Linked DNA regions of Macaca mulatta. Each later gene encodes a partner of the first gene's protein in a complex. Links are inferred from orthologs where the notes say so. Each region holds a gene or a part of one and is shown in the gene's direction. Other genes may lie near its edges.

Region 1 (6,976 bases):
TAGATCAAAATGGGGAAGGAGGTGACTGAACTCTGGGGATTTCTGGTGTAAAATGAGATGAGAACTAAGCAGAGCTTCCTGCAGTTGTGAGTAGTAAGTTGCTCCTGATATTTAGCCTTGGCTTAGATCCACTCCCTGGCCTGAGCTGACATTTCTTTGAACCTCAGTGGTCTCAGATGTTCCCAGGGGAGAGCATCTTCCCACCTTCAGAGTTACTTCAGAGTTAAAGCTGGGTTAACCTAACCTCAGCAAAGTAGGCAGATGTTCAGATGAGATTTCTTCTAGCCCAGATCAGCTCTGTGGATGCCCATCAGTTTCTAGATGGGCACTGTGACTGTCATTAGAAGAGTTAAGAGGATCTCATTCAGCTGCTTGAACTAATCAGTTATGAGACTGTTTTCTGAAGAGAATGAAACCCCTGAACTGGAAAGTTTCAGCTTCGGTTCCAAGGACTGGGACTGAGAACCTTCTTTAAAACAAGCTGTCCAGCCCTTTAGCCAGGGAGCGCCTTGGGTCTCTGTTCTCTACCTGTGACATGGCTGAATTTGTTCTGTCTCCTCTGCCTTTGTTTTTTTGTTTTCTTTTAACAGGAAAAGATTGGCTGGAGGAATGATGCATCGCACTTGCTGGTGTTTACCACTGATGCCAAGACTCATATAGCACTGGACGGAAGGCTGGCAGGCATTGTCCAGCCCAATGATGGGCAGTGTCATGTTGGTAGTGACAATCATTACTCTGCCTCCACTACCATGGTGAGATCTCTGGCACCACCTATGGTTTCTATTCATGATGGTGAGGGGTGCCCTAGCCCAGGCAGAGTCTGTGTGAATATGAAAATGGCAGCCCCTCCTTCTGGGCAGGGTGCAGGGCTTGGTTTCAGCTTGCCCCTATCCCTTACCAACTGGACACCGTCATCCAGCGTACAACCTACATAACCATTAGAGATATCCCTGATTGTGGTGTTATCACTGCCTTTACTGTCAGCAGCATAGCAACAGCATCATGGGATCCAGAATGGACCCAAAGGATTTTTACAACCCAAATGGAAAGCAGGTCTTCCTTTCCACTTTGATTAGCCCTTTCTTGGAATACCATACTAACTTGTGGTTATTGGAAGAAGATAGAGGAAAAAAAGAGAAAGATTGGCCAGGCATGTGATGGCTCATGCCTGTAATCTCGGCACTTTGGGAGGCTGGGGTGGAAGGATCACTTGAGTCAAGGAGTTTGAAACCAGCTTGGGAAATATAGTGAGACCCTGTCTCTGCAAAAAATGCAAAAATTCACTGAGTGTGGTGGCTTGTGCCTGTGGTCCCAGCTACTTGTGGGGCTGAGGCAGAAAGATCTCTTGAGCCCAGTAGTCTGAGGCTGCAGTGAGCTGTGATCTTGCCACCACACTCCCGCCTGAATTGCAGAGCAAGAACCACCACTGCTTTTTTTTTGTTTTATTTTGATACAGAGTCTTGCTGTGTTGCCCAGCTGGGGCGCAGTAGTGCAATCTTGGCTCACTGTAGCCTTCACCACCTCAGTCTCCTGAGTAGCTGGGACCACAGGCATGAACTACCATGCCCGGCTAATTTTTGAAAACAGGGTCTTGCTAGGTTGCCCAGGCTGGTCTCGAACTCCTTGGCTTAAGCAGTCTGCCCCCCTAAGCCTCCCAAAGTGCTGGGATTACAGGCGTGAGCCATTGCTCCTAGTGGGGACCCCTTCTCAGAGAGAGAGAGAGAGAGAAAGAGAGAAAGAGGGGAAAGATCATCAAAGACATGGTGAACAGGTCCTACGAGGAAAGATTAAAAGGCCAGAGTCATTCAGCTTGAAAGAAAGAAGGCTAAAGGATGATTTAGCTTATACATGAGAACACGTCTTATAAGTTGTTTTATATCACCATAGTAGGTTAAACAAGAGCAAAATATTTAAATTGAATCAGGAGAAATTACTATAAACCATAAGAGAAATGTGCTGTAATGCTCTAGGTATCTGGGGCAGGTGTGAACTCTTCATCTCCTAAGGACAATATAGCAACTTCCTTATCTAGGTGGCTTAAAGGTATACCTGTGTAAAGGCAGGAGACTGAGCTGAGGATCTAATGAGCTCCCTGCAAGGTCTAGGATCCCATGGACATGTTCACAATTCACCACCCCACCCACACAGTGTCCTGGAGTTCCTTGGTGTCAGCCATATCCAAGTCAAGCACTACCAGGCAATGAGTCAGCAACCTTTGACACCTAATCTATGCAAGGCACTGGGCCAGGGGCTGAGGGAGGTAACAAGACTATGTATGGTTCTATCCTTACAGAGTTTTTGGTCTAGTTGAGGAGAAAGGATATATATATATTTACAATAACACAAGATGCATGATTAGTGCTAAATGGGTGTGGCAAAGCCAAAGTGGGCTATACGTATCCAAGGGAGGAAAGCTCATCATGAGCTGGAAGGAGGTCTCTTGAAGGAAGTCTCTTGAAGGAGGTGGGGCCTAAGCTGGGCCCTAAGAAAGGAGGAGGATTACCAACAAGAAGGCAACTCCAGGTGGGAGACAGTGGACCAGATCACTGCTGAGTGGAAGAGGGAGAGAGGTGAGTAATATTTGGAAAGAAAGACTGAGACCACACGGTGGAGGATCATGAGGGCCAGGCCAAGGCATCGGTCAGTAGTTCCAAAACAGAGGCCTAACCCAGTGCCTTGTGCAGGGAAGCAGCTCCATTGTATTAGTGCATTAAATTCAAGCAGGAAGAAAGAGGTGCTTAGTTTTGACATCACTGGCCTGCACCTCTTTGTCTATCCCTGGAGTTCACAAGTAGACTTCTGTGCTACTTACCCTTCTTGTCTCACTGTACCCCCCGCCCCCCACTCTTTTTTTAGTTTTAGAGACAGAGTCTTGCTCTGCTGCCTGGGCTGGAGTACAGTGGTTCAATCATAGCTCACTGTAACCTCCAACTCCTGGGCTGAAGCGATCCTCCTGCCTCAGCTTACCCAGTAGCTAGGACTGTAGGCACTTACCACCACATCTGGCAAATTAAATTTTTTTTTTTTTTGTAGAGATGGGGCCTTGCTATGTTGCCCAGGCTCTTGTCTCACTTTCAGCATGAAGTGAAAAGGTTTAAGCACCACAACTCTCTGAGCCACAGCCCAAGCAAGATAAGTTCTAAGGTTTAGACCCTAGGGATGTACATGGCACTTCATTAACTTCTACATCCTTCATTTTTCTAGGATTATCCCTCTTTGGGGCTGATGACTGAGAAGCTCTCCCAGAAAAACATCAATTTGATCTTTGCAGTGACTGAAAATGTAGTCAATCTCTATCAGGTGACTGTGCCTTCGGGCTTCCTGGAGTGGGCCCTGTGATGGTGGGAGCCCCAGGTAGCCAGCCTGTGCTAGCGTTGGCCATAGTCCCCAACCAGGAAAGACTCTCCCCTAATCCACTGCCCAGGAGCTAAAGATTGCACTCTGGGCCTTTTTCCTGCAACCTTGAACTTACGAGGTGTGTGCTGGTGTTTGTGGTGATGGAGGGGAGGTGGCAAAGGGTGTGAGAGGCTTCCTCTACTTTTGCTCAGGGCTGAAAAACTGCTAGATATATTCCTGGCAGTGACCACTGAAATATCCCATACCTTCCTCCAATCTTCATCTCAGGACTCTCAGTGGTATTTGAGGAGGGCTTTTGGAGACCACCACCTTCCTTCGGTAAGCTCTGGACATCTTTGTCGTCCTTTCTAGAACTATAGTGAGCTCATCCCAGGGACCACAGTCGGGGTTCTGTCCATGGATTCCAGCAATGTCCTCCAGCTCATTGTTGATGCTTATGGGGTAAGTGTCTTGTGCTGGGAATAGTCCTGCGGAGAGTCCACCTCATTTGGCTTACACAGCAGGGCTCAGGTTTGTGAGTCCCAGGTGCCAGTCTACCACACGATCTTACTGCCTTCTCCGTGTGCTCCCAGAGGCCAGGCAGTGGTCTGCTCTAGAAGGGATGCAGCCTTCTGAGAAGGAAGTAGCCCAGAAAGAAAGAAAGAAAGGGGATGGGGATGGGGATGGTGATTAGTTGGAGAAGGAGCAGAGCCCTGGAATTGGGGCAGAGTGAGGGAAAACTGGGCTCCAATAACAGGGAAAAGAGAGAGCTGAGACATGGGGAAGGTGAGGTTGATGAAACATTAGGTAGAAAATGCTGCTTTCCAAGGTGACCAGTACTCCCCTTTCGCAACATCTGTGAGGCCTGCGGGAGGGTGTAGCTGGTACATTTTACCCAGACTCACCTAGACGCAAGTGGAGATGGAAAGAGGGAGCAGGTTCCTGTGCAGGAAACAGAGGAGGAAACAGAGTCCTAGGGGTGCTCCGGCAGCTTCCAGGTCAAACCTTGGCCTCTGGCACTGCTGGGGTAAGTCCAGAGCTACTTGGCAGATTTGGTTTGGGATGGAACTGGCTCTTGCCATTTCCCATTTCCTTTCAGTTCATTTTCTTGTCTTCTTGTGCCCCTTTGTGCTCAGAAAATCCGCTCTAAAGTCGAGCTGGAAGTGCGTGACCTCCCTGAAGAATTGTCTCTATCCTTCAACGCCACCTGCCTCAACAATGAGGTCATCCCTGGCCTCAAGTCTTGTATGGGACTCAAGATTGGAGACACGGTGAGATGGGCTGGGCAGGGCCTTTGTACTGGAGCATCTGTGAGCACCCAACCCCCTTTCTTCTTTTTGTAATGACTAAAAATGGCCCCCTTCCGCCAGAAAAAATATGGGCAGGAAAAATACCTTTCCTGAAAGTCATTTCAAGTTAGATGTAATGGATCCACCAATCTTTTCCTCTGGGGCTTCTGTTGCGTAAGCTATTTCTGTTACGTGAACTTAACTCTTAGGAATTTAAAAAACTTACAATTTGGTTACCTTTGTTTGTGTATGCACAGTTGATTGCAAAGGAAAATATTTCTTTACCTTCAGTCCCTCACCAGTCTCCAGCTTTCCCAAGGTAATTAATACCTTTCTTTTGTAAAATGACACAGGAAAGTAAAATCTAAAATGTAAAACGACGACATCATCTATAAATATTTATTGAGCACTGACATTGTGTCAGGCATTGTTCTAGTTGCCGAGAATTTAGCAGCAAATGGAACAGGCAAGAGTACCTACCCTCATGGAATTTTTGAAGCCAGATGTTCATTTCACCATCCAGTCCCTCCACGACTTTCCTTATCGGTCGTTTCTCCTCTGCTTCTGCCTAAGGGGAGAGGAGTTGGTGGGAGGGGAGGAAGGAGGGGAAGAAAATAGATCTTTGGATGCAGTGATCCTTTCTCTTAATCTATCTATCTTTCAGGCACTTGTGCAAGCATCCCATGTTAGAAATATTGTCCTGAAACATGCTTTATTGCATAAACTATAAAATGTGTGGAAATTGAAGTAGATCCTGAGCTTATGGTTGACCACTATGTGGGATTGTGTGGTGCAAAACAGTGCTTTGTGCATCTTGCTGATAATTATAATCAGTCCAGCTTGCTTAGCTGGCCAGAGCAGGGTGTTTATATGATCACAGGTTCTGTTCAGTTTCAGCTGGTCTATTTCACACGTGAAGTAAAAAAACAGCCTTTTATTATTTATTGACTGTAGACCATGTCTCTGCATCCAGCTACATATGTCACAATGATACTATTCCCGTGCTTGTGTTTTTGCTTTGCAGACCTTCACAGAGGTGGAGGTCTGTGGAACCTGTGGAAGGTTTGCTTTGCAGACCTTCCACAAAGCCTGAGGAACTCCATATTGCAAAAGCATAAGACACCCAATTTGGGTATTCCTTGGCAGGGCAGGGAACAACTTTTTTTTCCCTCCAGAGCTGGAGTGTTAACTGGGCCCAACTGTGTCTAAATACAATCTTGCTTTCCATCCAGGTGAGCTTCAGCATTGAGGCCAAGGTGCGAGGCTGCCCCCAGGAGAAGGAGAAGTCCTTTACCATCAAGCCCGTGGGCTTCAAGGACAGCCTGATCGTCCAGGTCACCTTTGATTGCGACTGTGCCTGCCAGGCCCAAGCTGAACCTAATAGCCGTCACTGCAACAATGGCAATGGGACCTTTGAGTGTGGGGTGTGCCGTTGTGGGCCTGGCTGGCTGGGATCCCAGTGTGAGTGCTCAGAGGAGGACTATCGCCCTTCCCAGCAGGACGAGTGCAGCCCCCGGGAGGGTCAGCCCGTCTGCAGCCAGCGGGGCGAGTGTCTCTGTGGTCAATGTGTCTGCCACAGCAGTGACTTTGGCAAGATCACGGGCAAGTACTGCGAGTGTGATGACTTCTCCTGTGTCCGCTACAAGGGGGAGATGTGCTCAGGTGAGGAGAACTGCACGGCCCCCTGTCCTGGAACCCACAACCCCTCATACATTTGCAACCCCTGGAAACATAGGCAAAGGCCTGAGATAGGTCTTTGCAGGCAGAGGTGTAACTCAGTGGTTCCCAATCTTTTTGAGTATAAGGACCAATCCACTTTTCAGGTTAAAAAAAAAAGTTACTGATAGATAGCAATTAAATTTTTACTATTTATAGACTTAGAAAACACATGTCAGAATATGTAGTAAGGTTAGTAATAATTTTACATGAGTTTATCTTTGTATCACAAGAGACCTGGAAAATAGTAGTATATATGCAAGGCATTGGAGCGTGCTTGAACAATGTCTGGAAAATGGTGTAATGCTCTTGTTAATGTTAGCACTATTTTGTTATCACTATTACTACTGTTGGTACTACTGTTATTTTTTGGATTCTAGATCTTTGCTATCCAATATGGTAGCCTTTAGACACATGTGGTTATTTAAATTAGCCAAAATCAAAAAATTAAAAATTCAGTTTTTCAGCTGATCCGTGGCCACATGTAGCTAGTGGCTGCTATATTGGACAGCATAGATCTAGAACATTTCAACGTGACAGAAAGTTCTCTTGGCTAGCACTGCCACAGAGAGTCCCTGCCGACAGATTGGGGATTATGATTTTGAGTCCTTCTACTCAGCAGGGTGCTGAGTTGT
Region 2 (7,710 bases), about 2.8 Mb from region 1:
GATCTCTTGAGCTCAGGAATTCGAGGTCAACCTGGGTAACATAGCAAGACCCCATCTCTACAAAAAAAACTAAAAATTAGCTGGGCGTGGTGGCACAAGCCTGTGGTCTCAGCTATTCATGAGGCTGATGTGGGAGGATTGCTTGAGCCCAGGGGTCAAGTCTGTAGTGAGCCATGATCAGGTCACTGCACTGCAGCCTGGGTGACAGAGCGAGACCCTGTCTCAAAAATAAAAAGAATATGAGCCAAGTACAACACCATTAACTGAGGATTGTGCATCAGAATTGAGCCAAAAAAAAAGTTCAAAAATGCGTTTTTTGGTTTGTGGTTTGTGTGTTTTTTTTGAGATGGAGTTTCACTCTTGTTGCCCAGGCTGAAGTGCGATGGCGCAATCGTGGCTGACCGCAACCTCCATCTCCTGGGTTCAAGCAATTCTCCTTCTCAGCCTCCCAAGCAGCTGAGATTCTAGGTGTGCACCACCACGCCCAGCTAATTTTTGTATTTTTAGTAGAGACAGGATTTCGCCATGTTGGCCAGGCTGGTCTCGAACTCCTGGCCTCAAGCAATCTGCCCACTTTGGCCTCCCAAAGTGTTGGGATTACAGCTGTAAGCCACCATGCCCAGCAAAAAATAAAAATAAATAAATTGTTTTTAAGGCATAGTCTTTCTCTTGCCCAGGCTGGAGTGGAGTGGCAAAATCATAGCTCACTGTAACCTAAAATTCCTGGGCTCGAGTGATTCTCCTGCCTCAGCCTCCTCAGTAGCTGGAACTACAGGTGTGCACTACCATGCCTGGCTAATTTTAATTTTTCTGTAGACACAGGGTCTCACTATGTTGCCCAGGCTGGTCCCAAACACCTGGCTTCAAGCAATCCTCACTTTGGCCTCCCAAAGTGCTGGGATTACAGGCGTGAGCCACCACACCTGGCCTAAAAATCTTTATAATTTTCTTTTCCTCTCTTTTTTTTTTTTTTTTTTTTTTGACAGAGTCTCACTCTGTCGCCCAGGCTGGAGTGCAGTGGCATGATCTCGACTCACTGCCACCTCTGCTTCACAGGCTCAAGCAATTCTCTTGCCTCAGCCTCCCAAGTAGCTGGGATTACAGGCATGCACCACCACGCCCAGCTAATTTTTGTATTTTTAGTAGAGACGGGGTTTCACTATATTGGCCAGGCTGGTCTCGAACTCCTGATCCACCCACTCGGCCTCCCAGAGTGCTGGGATTACAGGCATGAGCCACCGTGCCTGGCTAAAATCTTTATGATTTTCCATCTCCCATGGATTAAAGTTCAGATTCCTTAATACAGTATTCAAGGACCTTCAGTAATTAGAACCCCCAAGCTTTCCTTTCCCACCTTGCACCTCAGTCCACCCCTTTAAGCACTCTGCTATGCTGAGTCAACTACTTGTCCTTCCCCACCTCTGTGTTCCTTTGCTGCTCTCATGTATTCTCTATGCCTAAAAACCCTTTCATTCTCTAACAAAAGGCAACTTGAACATGAGTTCAAGTGCAACCCATGTTTGAATCTTAGTTTTGCCATTCGTTGGCTGTGTAAATGTGGGCAATTCACCTAAAACTCTTGTGCCGCAGTTTTGTGTTTATAAAATGGGCATTAATAGTACTTATTTCCTAGGGTTGTCATGAGGAACAATGATAGATGACTTTGATAATCTGTATATTTTTCAAGGTATGCTTTACTGTCTCTGCTGCGGTTATGTGTGTTCATGTCTTTTTTTTTTTTTTTTTTTTTTTTTTTTTGAGACAGAGTGTCGCTCTGTCGCCCAGGCTGGAGTGCAGTGGCCGGATCTCAGCTCACTGCAAGCTCCACCTCCCGGGTTCACGCCATTCTCCTGCCTCAGCCTCCTGAGGAGCTGGGACTACAGGCGCCCGCCACCTCGCCCGGCTAGTTTTTTGTATTTTTAGTAGAGACGGGGTTTCACCGTGTTAGCCAGGATGGTCTCGATCTCCTGACCTCGTGATCCGCCCGTCTCGGCCTCCCAAAGTGCTGGGATTACAGGCTTGAGCCACCGTGCCCAGCCGTGTGTTCATGTCTTAACTCTTTCTGGGCTGTTTGTTAAGGCTCCTTGATGGCTATCTTTGGAGTTTTTAAAATATTTTATTTTTTATAGTTTTAAAATAGAGACGAGGTCTCACTGTATTGCCTAGGCTAGTCTCAAATACCTGAGCTCAAGCCATCCTCCTTCCTCAGCCTCCCAAAGTGCTGGGATTACAGGCGTGAGCCACTGTATCTGGCCTGATGGTTATCTTTGTATCCTTTATCAACACAGTGCTTTGAACAGAGTAAATACTTATTGAAAACTTGAGTGAAATGTGACTTAATATTTGGCCTCACAGAATACACCAGTAATACAGCACTCACTCACCTGAGGACAGTGGGAGAATAGAAGGTAAGTAGAAGACTGGGTTAAGTATTCATTCTAGCAAATACATTAATCACATGCCTCCCGTGTACTTGACACTGGGAATTCAGCAATGAAGAAGGCTCAGACCAAAGTCTAGGCTTTTAGCTTCCTGTCCTATAAAGGATAAGATTCTTAGCTCTATGCTGAGGTAGTAAATTATGAGGGGACTTCAAAATGGCACAGGGTGGTTGAGCAGGATACAGCAATGGTTAAGTTTGGTCGGAAAATAGAAATCAAAAGGAAAATGTGGCTATGGTTACCCCTAGCAAACCTCTTGAATCTCCTTCCTGAGAACCTGCTTTTTTGGGAAGGCACGAGTGCCAGTAAGACTTGGCACTCCTCCTCTTCCGCTTACCCAGAGAAAATGACAGCCTTTCTGCTCAAAACTCATCCCTTCACTTTGTCACCCTATATTTGCATCTTCCATCCTTAGTGTGTGTTTCCGTCCAGTCGTTCGGCAATACACGTACTACATGTTGGACTCTTGGGTAGTCTCTAGGGCTGTAGCAAGGAGCCTTGCTCCCAAGGGACTCATTTACATAATCCTGTGAACAGACCATGAGTAAACAGTGTGCTCAATACTGTGCCTATGTGTGTTAGCCCATGCGGCCAGCCTGAGGAGTCAGGGAAGGCTCCCCTAGGCAAAGACCCCAACCAGAATCAAGTCTTAATGGTTAGACAAGAGCTCCGTCACCCAAAAAGGATTGAGGGCCTACCTTCAACTGAACAGCTAATGCATAATCTCAGAACCTGTGAGTCAAAATTCCCTGGAATAACTCCACTTTATCCCCAATATCCTTGCCACCTAGACCAAGGTCCGTTCACCACCCTGTCCCCAGCACTGACTGCACTGCTGTGGCCACACTAAAACTTGGCTCAAGACAGACAAGTGAGGAAGCTGCTGCGCCAGTATGGCTGGTTGAGGCCGCCCAAGGTCCTAGGAGGAAGCGGGTAAATGCCATATCCAAAAAGACACAGCAGCCTCAGGTTTTATCAGAGGGCAGCAGCTTCCTTCTCCTTCCCCAACCTCTGGCTAAGTCACAAAGCACCACAGCTGTACAACCAGATGGGGGAAGGGAGGAGATTAGAACTGTAGGCTAGAGTAGACAGGTATGGACCAGTTCACAATCACGGTATCCCAAGCAGAAAGTGATGGTGGCTTGGACTAGCATGGTGGTATTAGAGATGGGGTAAAGATTCAAGAGACATCGTTGATAGGCAGAACCAATAGGACTTGGTAATAAACTATTCTCAGGAAAAGGGAGGACTCATGGCTTTCAGCTATGAGCATCCAGCCATGAGCATGGCCTCACCCACTTCCTGACAATTCTAGCCACCATGAGTCCAGGGGCTATAGCCCTTTGCTCTGCCCATTGCTCAGCAAGTTACTTGGGGTTGCAGTTTGATAAGAAAAGACTTCCTGTGGAGGAATCTGAAGGGAAGAAGGAGGAGCTGGTCCATTCCTGCCTGGGAGGTTGTGGAAGAAGGAAGATGGCCAGAGCTTTGTGTCCACTGCAAGCCCTCTGGCTTCTGGAGTGGGTGCTGCTGCTCTTGGGACCTTGTGCTGCCCCTCCAGCCTGGGCCTTGAACCTGGACCCAGTGCATCTCACCTTCTATGCAGGCCCCAATGGCAGCCACTTTGGGTTTTCACTGGACTTCCACAAGGACAGCCATGGGAGGTGAGCTATGAGGGAAGTTTGGGTATTGGGAAAGAGCAGGACCCTTCCCCATCACTGCTTCTGGGGGCTTCAAGTTTCCCATTTGTTATGGCAGTTGAGCAAGGTGACTTGTGGGGCCTATTCAGGTTGATTTCTTGTCAAGAATGCTGAGGTCTGGGGGACTGGCTCAGGTGAAGGTGTAAGGGCAGGGCACAGGTGTGGGTGATGGGCACTGAAACTATAGCAAGAACCAAGGGAAGACAAGAGTTGATGCTTTATTTTTTCCCCAAGGGTCAGTTGTATGAACCACACCACCCTCAACACCTTGAAATGTGGAGAGGAGGCTGGGCATGGTGACTCACGCCTGTAATCCCAGCATTTTGGGAGGCCAAGGCGGGTGGATCACCTGAGGTCGAGAGTTCAAGACCAGCCTGACCAACATGGAGAGACCTCGTCTCTACTAAAAAAAGAAAAAAAAAAAAATTAGCTGGGCATGGTGGCACATTCCTGTAATCCCAGTTGCTCGGGAGGCTGAGGCAGGAGAATCATTTGAACCTGAGAGGCAGAGGTTGTGGTGAGCTGAGATCGCGCCATTGCACTCCAGCCTAGGCGAAACTCTGTCTCAAAAAAAAGAAAGAAAGAAAGAAACGTGGAGAGGAGCACATGTCCTAAAATTGATTTGCAGAACTAAAGTTGTCTACCCTCCCCAATCTTGCATTTCTATTCCATTTCCCTCATCTCCACCAACATTATAAATTTTTGAAAAGAAGCAATAGGTCATTAATGGTTAGTATTGATCAGGCTTCAGAATCAAGAGTGCCCAAGATTAGAGTCTTGGCTCCTCTTCATAGTGTGTACCCTGAGCTACTTACCGTGAGAGACACAGTGCCCACCAGCTTCAGGGGGTGGCAATGGGTGGCAATGGCAGATAGCCTTCAAGTGTCAGCCACTTAGGGGATCTCCCCTGCTGAAGACAGCCAGTTCACTCAAAGTCCCCTCCCAAGGTGGCCCACATCCAGTGACTGAACAATGAGAAGTGGGCGAGTGGGGAGAGTGGAGGCGGGGGGTGGGGAGGCATTTGATAAGGGTCCAGCCCTCTTTCCCTCTTTCATCAACTCTAACAATTCTTTTTTTTTCTTTTCTTTTTTTTTTTTTTTTTTTTTTTTTGAGACGGGGTTTGGCTCTTGTTGCCCAGGCTGGAGTACGATAGTGCAATCTCCGGCTCACCACAACCTCCACCTTCCAGGTTCAAGCGATTCTCTTGCCTCAGCCTCCCGAGTAGCTGGGATTACAGGCATGTGCCACCACACCCGGTTAATTTTGTATTTTTAGTAGAGATGGGGTTTCTGTCAGGGTAGTCTCGAACTCCCAACCTCAGGTGATCCGCCTGCCTTGGCCTCCCAAAGTGCTGGGATTACAGGCATGAGCCACCACGCCGGGCCTTTTTTTTCTTGTTTTCTTTTGAGACAGAATTTTGCTCTTGTTGCCCAGGCTGGAGTGCAATGGCATGATCCCAGCTCACTGCAACCTCCGCCTCCTGGGTTCAAACGATTTTCCTGTCTCAGCCTCCCGAGTAGCTGGGATTACAGGTGCATGCCACCATGCCTGGCTAATTTTTGTATTTTTAGTAGAGACGGGGTTTCACTATGTTAGCCAGGCTGGTCTCGAACTCCTGACCTCAGGTGATTCGCCCGCCTCAGCCTCCCAAAGTGCTGGGATTACAGGTGTGAGCCACCGCGCCCGGCCAACTCTGACAATTTTGAAAGGTCATTCTAGCTCCAGAGCTTGTGGGTGTTGGCGAATGCTGTCATTGGGCCTGAATCAGCTCAACTCCTTCCTGTGCCCACTCCTGCTTATCTCTCCTCCTATAAGTAGTGATCCCATTGGCACTACTTAAACATTCTGCGGTTAAAAAAAATTATAGACCAGACACAGAGGCTCACGCCTGTAATCCCTTAGCCTCCCAAAGTGCTGGGATTACAGGTGTGAGCCACCATGACTGGCCTATAAAAAAATGTTTTTTGGCCGGGCGCGGTGGCTCAAGCCTGTAATCCCAGCACTTTGGGAGGCCGAGACGGGTGGATCACGAGGTCAGGAGATCGAGACCATCCTGGCTAACACGGTGAAACCCCGTCTCTACTAAAAAATACAAAAAACTAGCCGGGTGAGGTGGCGGGCGCCTGTAGTCCCAGCTACTAGGGAGGCTGAGGCAGGAGAATGACTTTAACCTGGGAGGCGGAGCTTGCAGTGAGCTGAGATCCGGCCACTGCATTCCAGCCTGGGCAACAGAGCGAGACTCCGTCTCAAAAAAAAAAAAAAAAGTTTTTTAATTAGCTAGGCATGGTGTTGCACACCCACAGTTCCAGCTACTCGGGTGGCTGAGGGGAGAGGATTTCTTGAGCCCTGAAGATCAAGGCTACAGTGAGCTGTGATCGTGCTACTGCACTCCAGCTGGGCAACAGAATGAGACCCGGTCTCAAAACAACAAAATTATTTTTTAAAATTATAGCATTGTTTCAAGAGCATTTGTTATGTATTTGGCTGGGACCATGCTAACCATTACTCGTATTTATTACATTTACTCCTGACCGTTTTGATTGGTTGTGAAAAAGTCATTGGTTGTGAAATTGGTATTCCTATTTCACAAATGGCAGAATTGTGATTTAAACCTAGATCTGCTAGGGTCCTCATCTCTATCAGCACACACACTCCAGCCCCACTTCAGAGGTACCTTCTACCTTCCCTCATTAAAACCAGCTCTCAAGAGGGGATCTGGGCCCGGCGCGATGGCTCACGCCTGTAATCCCAGCACTTTGGGGGGCCAAGGCGGGCGGATCACGAGGTCAGAAGATTGAGACCATCCTGGCTAACATGGTGAAACCCCGTCTCTGCTAAAAATACAAAAAATTAGCCGGGCGTGGTGGCGGGCGCCTGTAGTCCCAGCTACTCGGGAGGCTGAGGCAGGAGAATGGCGTGAACCCGGGAGGCGGAGCTTGCAGTGAGCCGAGATCGCGCCACTGCACTCCAGCCTGGGCGACAGAGGGAGACTACGAGACTGCATCTCAAAAAAAAAAAGAAAAAAAAAAAAAAAGAGGGGATCTGGTAACAGTCAAGACAGGCATTCTAGGGAGCACGTGAACCTCTGGTTCTTGTTATGGGTGGAAGGATGGAGATGTTGTACAGAATTTAGGTCTTTTTCAGCAAAGATCTCAAACCCCTTATAGTCCCAGCTTTACTCTCAACTCACTGGGTTACTTTACGCACGTGATTGCCCGCGCTGAGAGTCAGTTTCACTGTCCATAAGATGAAGTACACCTCGATGGTCTGTGAGGTGTCATTGAGGACAGATGGTCCGGTGCCCCCATGCCACATCGCCTTCCGGGCAGTGCTCCCAGCGCCGGCGCCAGGGTCTGGGATACGCTGGAATCTGCGTGGCGCTCACCCAGCTTTCCTATGCAGAGTGGCCATCGTGGTGGGCGCCCCACGGACGCTGGGTCCCAGCCAGGAGGAGACGGGCAGCGTGTTCCTGTGCCCTTGGAGGGCCGAGGGCGGCCAGTGCCCCTCGCTACTCTTTGACCTCCGTGAGTCCCAGGCAAGGAGAGCAAGGGTGGGGCCAGAGGGACGTGGAC
Region 3 (7,572 bases), on another chromosome or scaffold:
TTTCCTGGAAGTCCCACCCCCAGACACGTTCCAAGCCCTACTACGTGAAACCCTTGGTTACTCCTTCCATTCTCCGAAACTCCGCCTCCTAGCAACGATCCTCTGCTAACTCCTGTCAAAAAGCCTATCTCCCAAAAGGGCAAAACCCTGCTCCTCAAAGAACGATTCGAATTTGTTGGAGCCACGCCTCTTCGGGGCTCCGCCCCTCCGAAGCCACGCCCTGTTCGTAATCCGTGTCTGACTGTCCAGAAAGCCTCCCCGCATAGAAGTCTGAAGTTCGCGTCCTGGCGGACCACGCCCCCTTACGAGCTTTGTGGGACCTGGGTCATCAGCTGTAAAGCCTTGTCGTCAATCCCTGAAACTCCACCTGCTTATATTTTCCTGTCCTTTGTCTTTTTTTGGGCTTTGGGATCAGTTTTCCGAGCACTCTCGTGCTCCCCCAGGTGGGAAGTCAAAGTTCCTATCTCTGACTGTGAAGAGTGAGATTAAAGGCAGCCGTTTTCCTTTCTTTCTTTTCTTTCTTTCTTTTTGTTTTTTTTGAGACAGAGTTTCGCTCTTGTTGCCCAGGCTAGAGTGCAATGGTGCGATCTCGACTCACCGCAACCTCCGCCTCCTGGGTTCAAGTGATTCTCCTGCCTCAGCCTCCCGAGTAGCTGGGATTATAGGCGCCCGCCACCACGCCCGGCTAATTTTTGTATTTTTAGTAGAGAGGGGGGTTTCACCATGTTGACTAGGCTAGCCTCGAACTCCTGACCTCAGATGATCCACCCGTCTCAGCCTCCTTAAGTGCTGGGATTACAGGCGTGAGCCACCGCGCCCGGCCCCATTTTCCTCTTTCTTAACCTCCTTCAAGGGTAGAACTATTTGAAGGGGCTGAACTTAGGGTTTGGCACCAGAGGGAGAGAGACTTGCTGTCAGACTCCCAGCCTCATCTCCTGGCCTTCCCTTCCCAGGACCAACTCCATCCCAGAAGTAGCTCTAGGCCTGCCTATCCATAAGTGGATAGGACCATGGATTTGTTGGTGTGTGGCATGTGGGTGTGACAGGAGCAAGTTTTCTACCAGAAAAACGGTGGTTTGGAGTGGGGGTAGATAATAGTGCCCTTTTTGTTGTTTGATTTTTTTCTTTTTTTTTTAAGGGACAGTTCAGTTGCTGCTTCTCTGTCTCTTCCCCTCCCCCTAACCATAGTTCTTGTCTGGGCATTCCTCCTGGCCCCGTTTGCCCAGCCTTCCCTGCTGGAAACATTCCTGAGGCTTTCGCCATTTCCTGCCACTTCCCACCCCTCTCCCCTCCTCCCAGTTGGGCTGAGAAGCCACATACAGCTTTTTCCCTACACCCAATCACCTTGACTTCCAGTAGGCAATCTCTTTTCTCCCCATGCACATTTCAACAGTCATACTTCTTTCTTTTCTTCCAAACGCCCACACCCGTTGGTCTTTCCCTGGCCCTGGATACTGCAGGCTCCCAGAGAACATCATCTCAACAGATGAGGACATCCTAGTGTGTGTTTATGTGTTTTGGGGGTGTGAGGCTATAGTGGAATCCTTTCCTCATTCTCTCTATGCCCGAGAGCTGGCTGGAAAAGAAGTGATAAAATTCCTTCTCAGGATTGGCTGACAGAGTGACAAGGCTCTTCTGGAATGAGCACTAAGGGGAGATTTAAGAGTTAAGCACAGTATCTAACACACTTTAAGTGTTAATGTTGTTAATCAGGATAATTATCTATCTATATTTTAATCCTCTGAAGTAAATCTAAGGGTAATTCCAAGGTGAGCTTGGGTGAATACGTATTTTTTTTTTTTTTTGAGGCAGAGTTTTGCTCTTGTCACCCAGGCTGGAGTGCAATGGCACGATCTCAGCTCACTGCAACCTCCACCTCCTGGGTTCAAGCGATTCTCCTGCCTCAGCCTCCCGAGCTGGGATTACAGGTGCTCACCACCACGCCCAGCTAATTTTTGTAGTTTTAGTAGAGACGGGGTTTCACCATGTTGACCAGGCTGGTCTCAATCTTCTGACTTCAGGTGATCCACCCGCCTCGGCCTCCCAAAGTGCTGGGATTACAGGTGTGAGCCACCTTACCCGGCGGGAATATGTATCTTTAACTTGTTTTTTGTTTTTTGGTCGCTTTCCAGCTTTGCCTATGGCATTCTCCAGAAGAGCAGTGGCAGGAAGCCGTGGGTGGCAGGAATGAGTTTGGGACTGTTCCCTGTGTCCAGCTTCAACCCATCTTCTCCTGACACCACTTTCTCCTGTGCTTACTTGTTTTTTCTCCTGTTCTTATTGACACAGATGTGTCTTCTGATCTCTCTGTCCCTTCCTGGCCTGTCGTTTCTGCTTCTCTTGGAGAACTGTTTCTTCCACCTCCTCCAGCCAGGCTCCTCCCCTGGTGTGAGGGACACTGTGCTGTTTGGTGGGGCTTAGGGTCCTGTAAGAGGAGGGATATGAATTGGGGTGGTTTGGAGTGGGAGTGGGGACCTGATTGCCTCATTCTCACCCTTGACAGTGTGCTGTGTTAACAAGGCCTGTGGAAAGGGGAGAGGACAGTGCTTGGCTATGAGCCATGGGTCTTGGTGTGGTAGATGGCATACATAGAGAACAAGCCGTGACCAGCATGTCCTCTTGTTCCCCTCTTGCCTGGTAGCTTCCTGATGTACCATCCAGGTTGGACTTTATTCCCCTTTTTTCACCAACTTTGCTTCTCCTCTTGACCCTGCTCTGCATCCATTGGGACCACTTCCTTCCCATCCCCACTTCGCTAGCTCCAGTCCACAGCTGTCGTAGCAGAGGATGCTAATGGCCCAGGCTTACTGTATGGGGTAGTGGTTGGGGGTGGCCTGGGCTGGAGGGTGGGGAATTCGAGTGTCCAACCAGAACAGGAAGGGAAATGCTGAGCTCTGAGATCTCCTCCCTTTTCCACCCGCAGCTGCCTCTGTTTCCTCCCTCATTCCCCTCTACTCTAGCCTGGCTTCCTGCCCCCTTTGGCCTGCCTGTGTCCGGTTTCGAGTGACCCAGACCTCCTATCTCCTTTCTTTCCGTCCAACTCCTCCATGCTTCCCTCCCACCCCCACTTTCCTTCTCCCCAGATTACTAGTTGTTTGTGTAGGGCAGGGGAGAGGAGCTTGGATAGCCCTACCCTCTGCTCCAGTCCGAGGTTGGGGCGGGGTGGGGGCTCAGCCCCTCTGAGCCTGTGAGTCAGCACTGTCCTCGTGATTGGTCTCTCCCTTTAGCTCTCCGCCCCTGGGGAGGAGCCAGGCAGCTCTGGGTCCAGCCTGTTCTCTTCTCAGCCAGAGAAGAGGCTCCACGTTGGGCGGGGATGGGGCCCGAAACTGTCTGGGTCTGAGCTGGGGAGCGGAAGCCACTTGTCCCTCTCCCTCCCCAGGACTTCTGTGACTCGTGGGCCACAGAGGTCCGACCAGGCTAAGGGCCTGGGGATACCCCCTGCCTGGCCCCCTTGCCCAAACTGGCAGGGGGGCCAGGCCGGGCAGCAGCCCCTCTCTCACCTCAGCTATGGATCTCCTGCCCCCCAAGCCCAAGTACAATCCACTCCGGAATGAGTCTCTGTCATCGCTGGAGGAGGGGGCTTCAGGGTCCACCCCCCCGGAGGAGCTGCCTTCCCCATCAGCTTCATCCCTGGGGCCCATCCTGCCTCCTCTGCCTGGGGACGATAGTCCCACTACTCTGTGCTCCTTCTTCCCCCGGATGAGCAACCTGAGGCTGGCCAACCCGGCTGGGGGGCGCCCAGGGTCTAAGGGGGAGCCAGGAAGGGCAGCCGATGATGGGGAGGGGATCGTAGGGGCAGCCATGCCAGACTCAGGCCCCCTACCCCTCCTCCAGGACATGAACAAGCTGAGTGGAGGCGGCGGGCGCAGGACTCGGGTGGAAGGGGGCCAGCTGGGGGGCGAGGAGTGGACCCGCCACGGGAGCTTTGTCAATAAGCCCACGCGGGGCTGGCTGCATCCCAACGACAAAGTCATGGGACCCGGGGTTTCCTACTTGGTTCGGGTGAGTGAACATCCTCCTTTCCATTGCCTCCCAGACCCCTCCAGTTCTTCTGCTCACTCCAGCTTGGCTGGAATTCTTTTTTCCTGCTGTTCCCCAACAACCCTGTTTCAGTGTTCTATTTCCTAAACCTTTCCCATCCCTTCCCCAATTCTGTAGCCCTTTCCCTTCCAGCTCTGCCTGGGCCCCCTTCCTTCTTTTGACTCCCCTACCCCCACCCTGCCATGCTTAGCACAATGCCCAGCATGGCAGAAGCTCTTAATAAGTGCTGGAAGGAGTGACTTCTTGATCCTTTCCTCCATTCTCCTCCCGCTTTCTGGAGTTGTTGCTCCATCCCAGTCAGTGCCTGTCAGTCCCCTCCAAACTCTCTCCCCAGTGCGTGAGGTCCTTCTAGCCTGCCTTTTCTTTCTCTGCTCGTTCCCTGTTGTCTTTCACCTTGGTTGTGGGATGTAGACACGGGAAGAGGGCAGAACTTCTTCCTCTTTACTTCTCTTAGGGACCATATGGGCAAAGTCCTAGGGCCCTTTGTGAAGGGACTGGGGTCAGGGAGCGGCTGACCTGCTGTCCTCTCCTCCCTCCCCTTAGTACATGGGCTGTGTGGAGGTCCTTCAGTCAATGCGTGCCCTGGACTTCAACACCCGGACTCAGGTTACCAGGTTAGTGGGGAGGGAGTGGACTGTGGGAGTCCTGGGATTAGTGAGGCCATGGGAAAGGGCGGAGGGGAGTGGGTCACTTGGGTGCTGCTGGTTGGGGCTGATCTTTGGGTAGTAAAGGGGATTGAGAGAAAGCTGGGATAGTGATTCTGCCTCTTACTGAAAGGAGGCCCCTCTGGCCCGGATCCTCCTTACCTGTCCAGCCTTGGGAGTTGTGGGGAAGGTAGCAGAAGCAGCTGGCAGGTGGAGCTGGAGTAGCAAATGGGGTAGATGGAAGGTTGCTGCTGCCTTTGGGAAGGGAATGGGACATTTGGTAGCTGGAAGGGGGTGGGGCTATACCCATTGAGGCCCTAACCCAATCAGCCAGGAAGCGGCCTCTCAGTGTCATCAAATATTAAAGGCCCTTAATTCAATCCACCACGACAAAGAGCCTGGAGTGCCCTGGGAGTCTGGCCTGGCTTTCCCCTCCCCCAGCTCTGTGGCAGCCCCAGTTGAGTGGGAGGCAGGCAGGCAGGCGCTGGGTCTGAGTACCCCTCTTTCCCCAGGGAGGCCATCAGTCTGGTGTGTGAGGCTGTGCCGGGTGCTAAGGGGGCGACAAGGAGGAGAAAGGTACTTGGGGTCCTTGGGGATAGGGATGCTGCTGGGAAATGTGGAGGGACAGTGAGGAGGCAAGTGTGGGGCATGTGGGGAGAGGGCCAGGAGACAAGAGTATGGTTTGTCTGTGCTGGGAACCCTCACCTTCTAAGACCCTGGGCCCTACCTTAGCCCTGTAGCCGCCCGCTCAGCTCTATCCTGGGGAGGAGTAACCTGAAATTTGCTGGAATGCCAATCACTCTCACCGTCTCCACCAGCAGCCTCAACCTCATGGCCGCAGACTGCAAACAGGTTGGTGGAGGTGGGCAGGTGGACCAGAAACACCGATGGGGGTGCTAAGGGGAGATCTAGTTAGGAGGCCAAAAACTAGGAAGAGGGCTTGAGAGCAGAAGACCAGTAGGGAAGGAGGAAATGAGGATATGGGATAAGGAACCCAGAGAATGAGACTGGGGCACCAGGGTTCTGGGCCCTGAGGCTGCCTGACACATGGCATTCCCTTCCTTCTCCATCCCCTCCCCTAATTCTCAGATCATCGCCAACCACCACATGCAATCTATCTCATTTGCATCCGGCGGGGATCCGGTGAGTTGGGGAACAGAGCAAAGGTGGTGGGAGAAGAGCAAGGGGCTAGTGATTGGGAAGACATTGATTAGAGAAGTGGGGGTGCTAGGACTGTGGGGATATCTGAAAAGGACTGGGTTTTAGGGGTCAGGAGTAAAGTGGAACTGTAAAATTTTCTGACTTTCCTCCCCAGGACACAGCCGAGTATGTCGCCTACGTTGCCAAAGACCCTGTGAATCAGAGAGGTGAGGCATGGTGGGGAGCACTGGGTGGGTCTGGCTGTTTGAGGTGAGTAGGACCTGGGGTCATTTGTACCCACTCTAAGTAGATCTAAGTGGGGGTTCCTGCCGAGGAAGATGAGGGCCCCTGTCTGTGCCTCCTCCCAGTGGGCTCAACTCACTGACAGCCTCTGCTGTGCCCTCAGCCTGCCACATTCTGGAGTGTCCCGAAGGGCTTGCCCAGGATGTCATCAGCACCATTGGCCAGGCCTTTGAGTTGCGCTTCAAACAATACCTCAGGAACCCACCCAAACTGGTCACCCCTCATGACAGGTGAGCAAGTGGGGAGAGTGTGGAGCAGCTTTTGAGACCAAGATTGGGAAAGGAGGGCTGTTCTTCCCACACTTGAGCTGAGAGGTTCAGGGAGGGAATAACCTGTGTGCCTCTGCTTCCCACTTCCTGCTATTCTTCTGTTTCCTGTGGCCCAGGAGGAAAGGCTTTTGAGGCCCTGCTTGCCGCAGGGCCAGCTTTTCTTGTTTGCTCATGGTGGAGCTGTAGTCCAGGGCCTCCAAGTTACATCTCTCTCTGGCTAGGTGGGATTTTCTATTCCCATTCCTCTTTCTTGCTCATTTCTCTGCTTGGCATTCTGTGTTTTCCTGCCTCTAGAAGCCATCAAGACTTTGGGTTTGGGAGGATATCTCTTTTCCCTGAGATTACAATCTTTCCCACCTCAGGCCTTGAGGGATAAGCAGTGGAGCCAGTAGGGATTGGAGGTAAAATCTGGAGCTGGAGCGCCTCCCTGCTGACGCTGACACACACAGACAGACAGACAGACACACACACACACACACACACACACACACACCCCACCCCCCCCCCCCATAGTGCTTCTGGAGCTGGAGCGCCTCCCACAGAGATCAAGAGCAAAAGCATTACTTACTTATTTTGAGACAGAGCCTTGCTCTGTAGCCCAGGCTGGAGTTCAGTGGTGCAATCACAGCTCAATGTAGCCTTCATACCCTGGGCTTGAGTGATCCTCCCACCTTAGCCTCCTGAGTAGATGGGACCACAGGTGCATGCCACCACACGTGGCTGAGTAGTAGTATTTTTATTTTGGTAGAGATAAGGTCTTGCTATGTTGCCCTGGCTGGTCTTGAACTCCTAGGCTCAAACAGCCCTCCCTCCTTGGCCTCTAAAAGTGTTGGGATTATAGGCGTGAGCCATTGCACCTGGCCAAGGGGGACGAGCTTTAAAGTCAAACCTGAATTTAAATCTGAGCTTAGCCGCCTTTTAGTTGTGAGACCTTGGGCAAATCTTTTCACCTCTGACCCTCATTTTCCTCATATGTAAAATTGGGGAAGGAAACAATACCTACCTTATGGGGTTGCCAGGAGAATGAAATGATTATGTATATAAAACACTCAGCCTCAGGCCTAATCCACAGTAAATACCCAATAGATGGCTGCTGTTCTATTCCCTCCTCCCCTCCTCCTGCCCACCACACATTTACAGCTACACCTTCACTGTCCTGTCCCTCAGGATGGCTG

Evidence for each region. Proteins that work in one complex are often made in the same cells at the same time.
Region 2: the proteins of ITGB3 (region 1) and ITGA2B are in contact, whole or in part, in a cryo-EM structure (PDB 8GCE), measured with the Homo sapiens proteins. The link is inferred for Macaca mulatta from reciprocal best matches to the Homo sapiens genes ITGB3 and ITGA2B. Residues at the interface, in NP_000203.2 of Homo sapiens: Ser188, Pro189, Tyr190, Tyr192, Ile193, Ser194, Pro195, Pro196, Tyr204, Asp205, Met206, Arg242, Asp243, Pro245, Lys279, His281, Ile282, Ala283, Leu284, Asp285, Arg287, Leu288, Ala289, Gly290, Val292, Gln293, Pro294, Asn295, Asp314, Tyr315; in NP_000410.2 of Homo sapiens: Gln49, Phe52, Arg72, Trp141, His143, Asn145, Glu152, Ala153, Glu154, Lys155, Pro157, Arg184, Phe191, Tyr197, Glu199, Phe202, Pro217, Tyr221, Phe222, Phe262, Asp263, Tyr265, Tyr268, Thr290, Trp293, Thr294, Gln315, Met316, Ala317, Tyr319.
Region 3: the proteins of ITGB3 (region 1) and SHC1 are in contact, whole or in part, in an NMR structure (PDB 2L1C), measured with the Homo sapiens proteins. The link is inferred for Macaca mulatta from reciprocal best matches to the Homo sapiens genes ITGB3 and SHC1. Residues at the interface, in NP_000203.2 of Homo sapiens: Trp765, Asp766, Thr767, Ala768, Pro771, Leu772, Tyr773, Lys774, Glu775, Ala776, Thr777, Ser778, Thr779, Phe780, Thr781, Asn782, Ile783, Thr784, Tyr785, Arg786, Gly787, Thr788; in NP_892113.4 of Homo sapiens: Ser175, Met176, Arg177, Asn182, Arg184, Thr185, Gln186, Thr188, Arg189, Glu190, Ser193, Leu194, Arg208, Arg209, Lys210, Arg214, Pro215, Leu216, Ser217, Ile219, Met257, Gln258, Ser259, Ile260, Ser261, Phe262, Ala263, Ser264, Gly265, Pro268.

What each region holds. Positions count from the first base shown.
Region 1 is NC_133421.1:71,567,895-71,574,870, forward strand, and holds part of ITGB3 (integrin beta-3), read left to right. Parts: intron 1-590; coding exon 591-752; intron 753-3,204; coding exon 3,205-3,300; intron 3,301-3,708; coding exon 3,709-3,798; intron 3,799-4,472; coding exon 4,473-4,607; intron 4,608-5,857; coding exon 5,858-6,287; intron 6,288-6,976. UniProt on the Homo sapiens protein: Integrin alpha-V/beta-3 (ITGAV:ITGB3) is a receptor for cytotactin, fibronectin, laminin, matrix metalloproteinase-2, osteopontin, osteomodulin, prothrombin, thrombospondin, vitronectin and von Willebrand factor.
Region 2 is NC_133421.1:68,763,619-68,771,328, reverse strand, and holds the start of ITGA2B (integrin alpha-IIb), read left to right. Parts: upstream 1-3,487; 5' UTR 3,488-3,761; coding exon 3,762-4,102; intron 4,103-7,540; coding exon 7,541-7,662; intron 7,663-7,710. UniProt on the Homo sapiens protein: Integrin alpha-IIb/beta-3 is a receptor for fibronectin, fibrinogen, plasminogen, prothrombin, thrombospondin and vitronectin. It recognizes the sequence R-G-D in a wide array of ligands.
Region 3 is NC_133406.1:112,029,699-112,037,270, forward strand, and holds the start of SHC1 (SHC-transforming protein 1), read left to right. Parts: upstream 1-3,349; 5' UTR 3,350-3,507; coding exon 3,508-4,002; intron 4,003-4,584; coding exon 4,585-4,655; intron 4,656-5,197; coding exon 5,198-5,261; intron 5,262-5,417; coding exon 5,418-5,537; intron 5,538-5,774; coding exon 5,775-5,828; intron 5,829-6,000; coding exon 6,001-6,052; intron 6,053-6,231; coding exon 6,232-6,358; intron 6,359-7,564; coding exon 7,565-7,572. UniProt on the Homo sapiens protein: Signaling adapter that couples activated growth factor receptors to signaling pathways. Participates in a signaling cascade initiated by activated KIT and KITLG/SCF.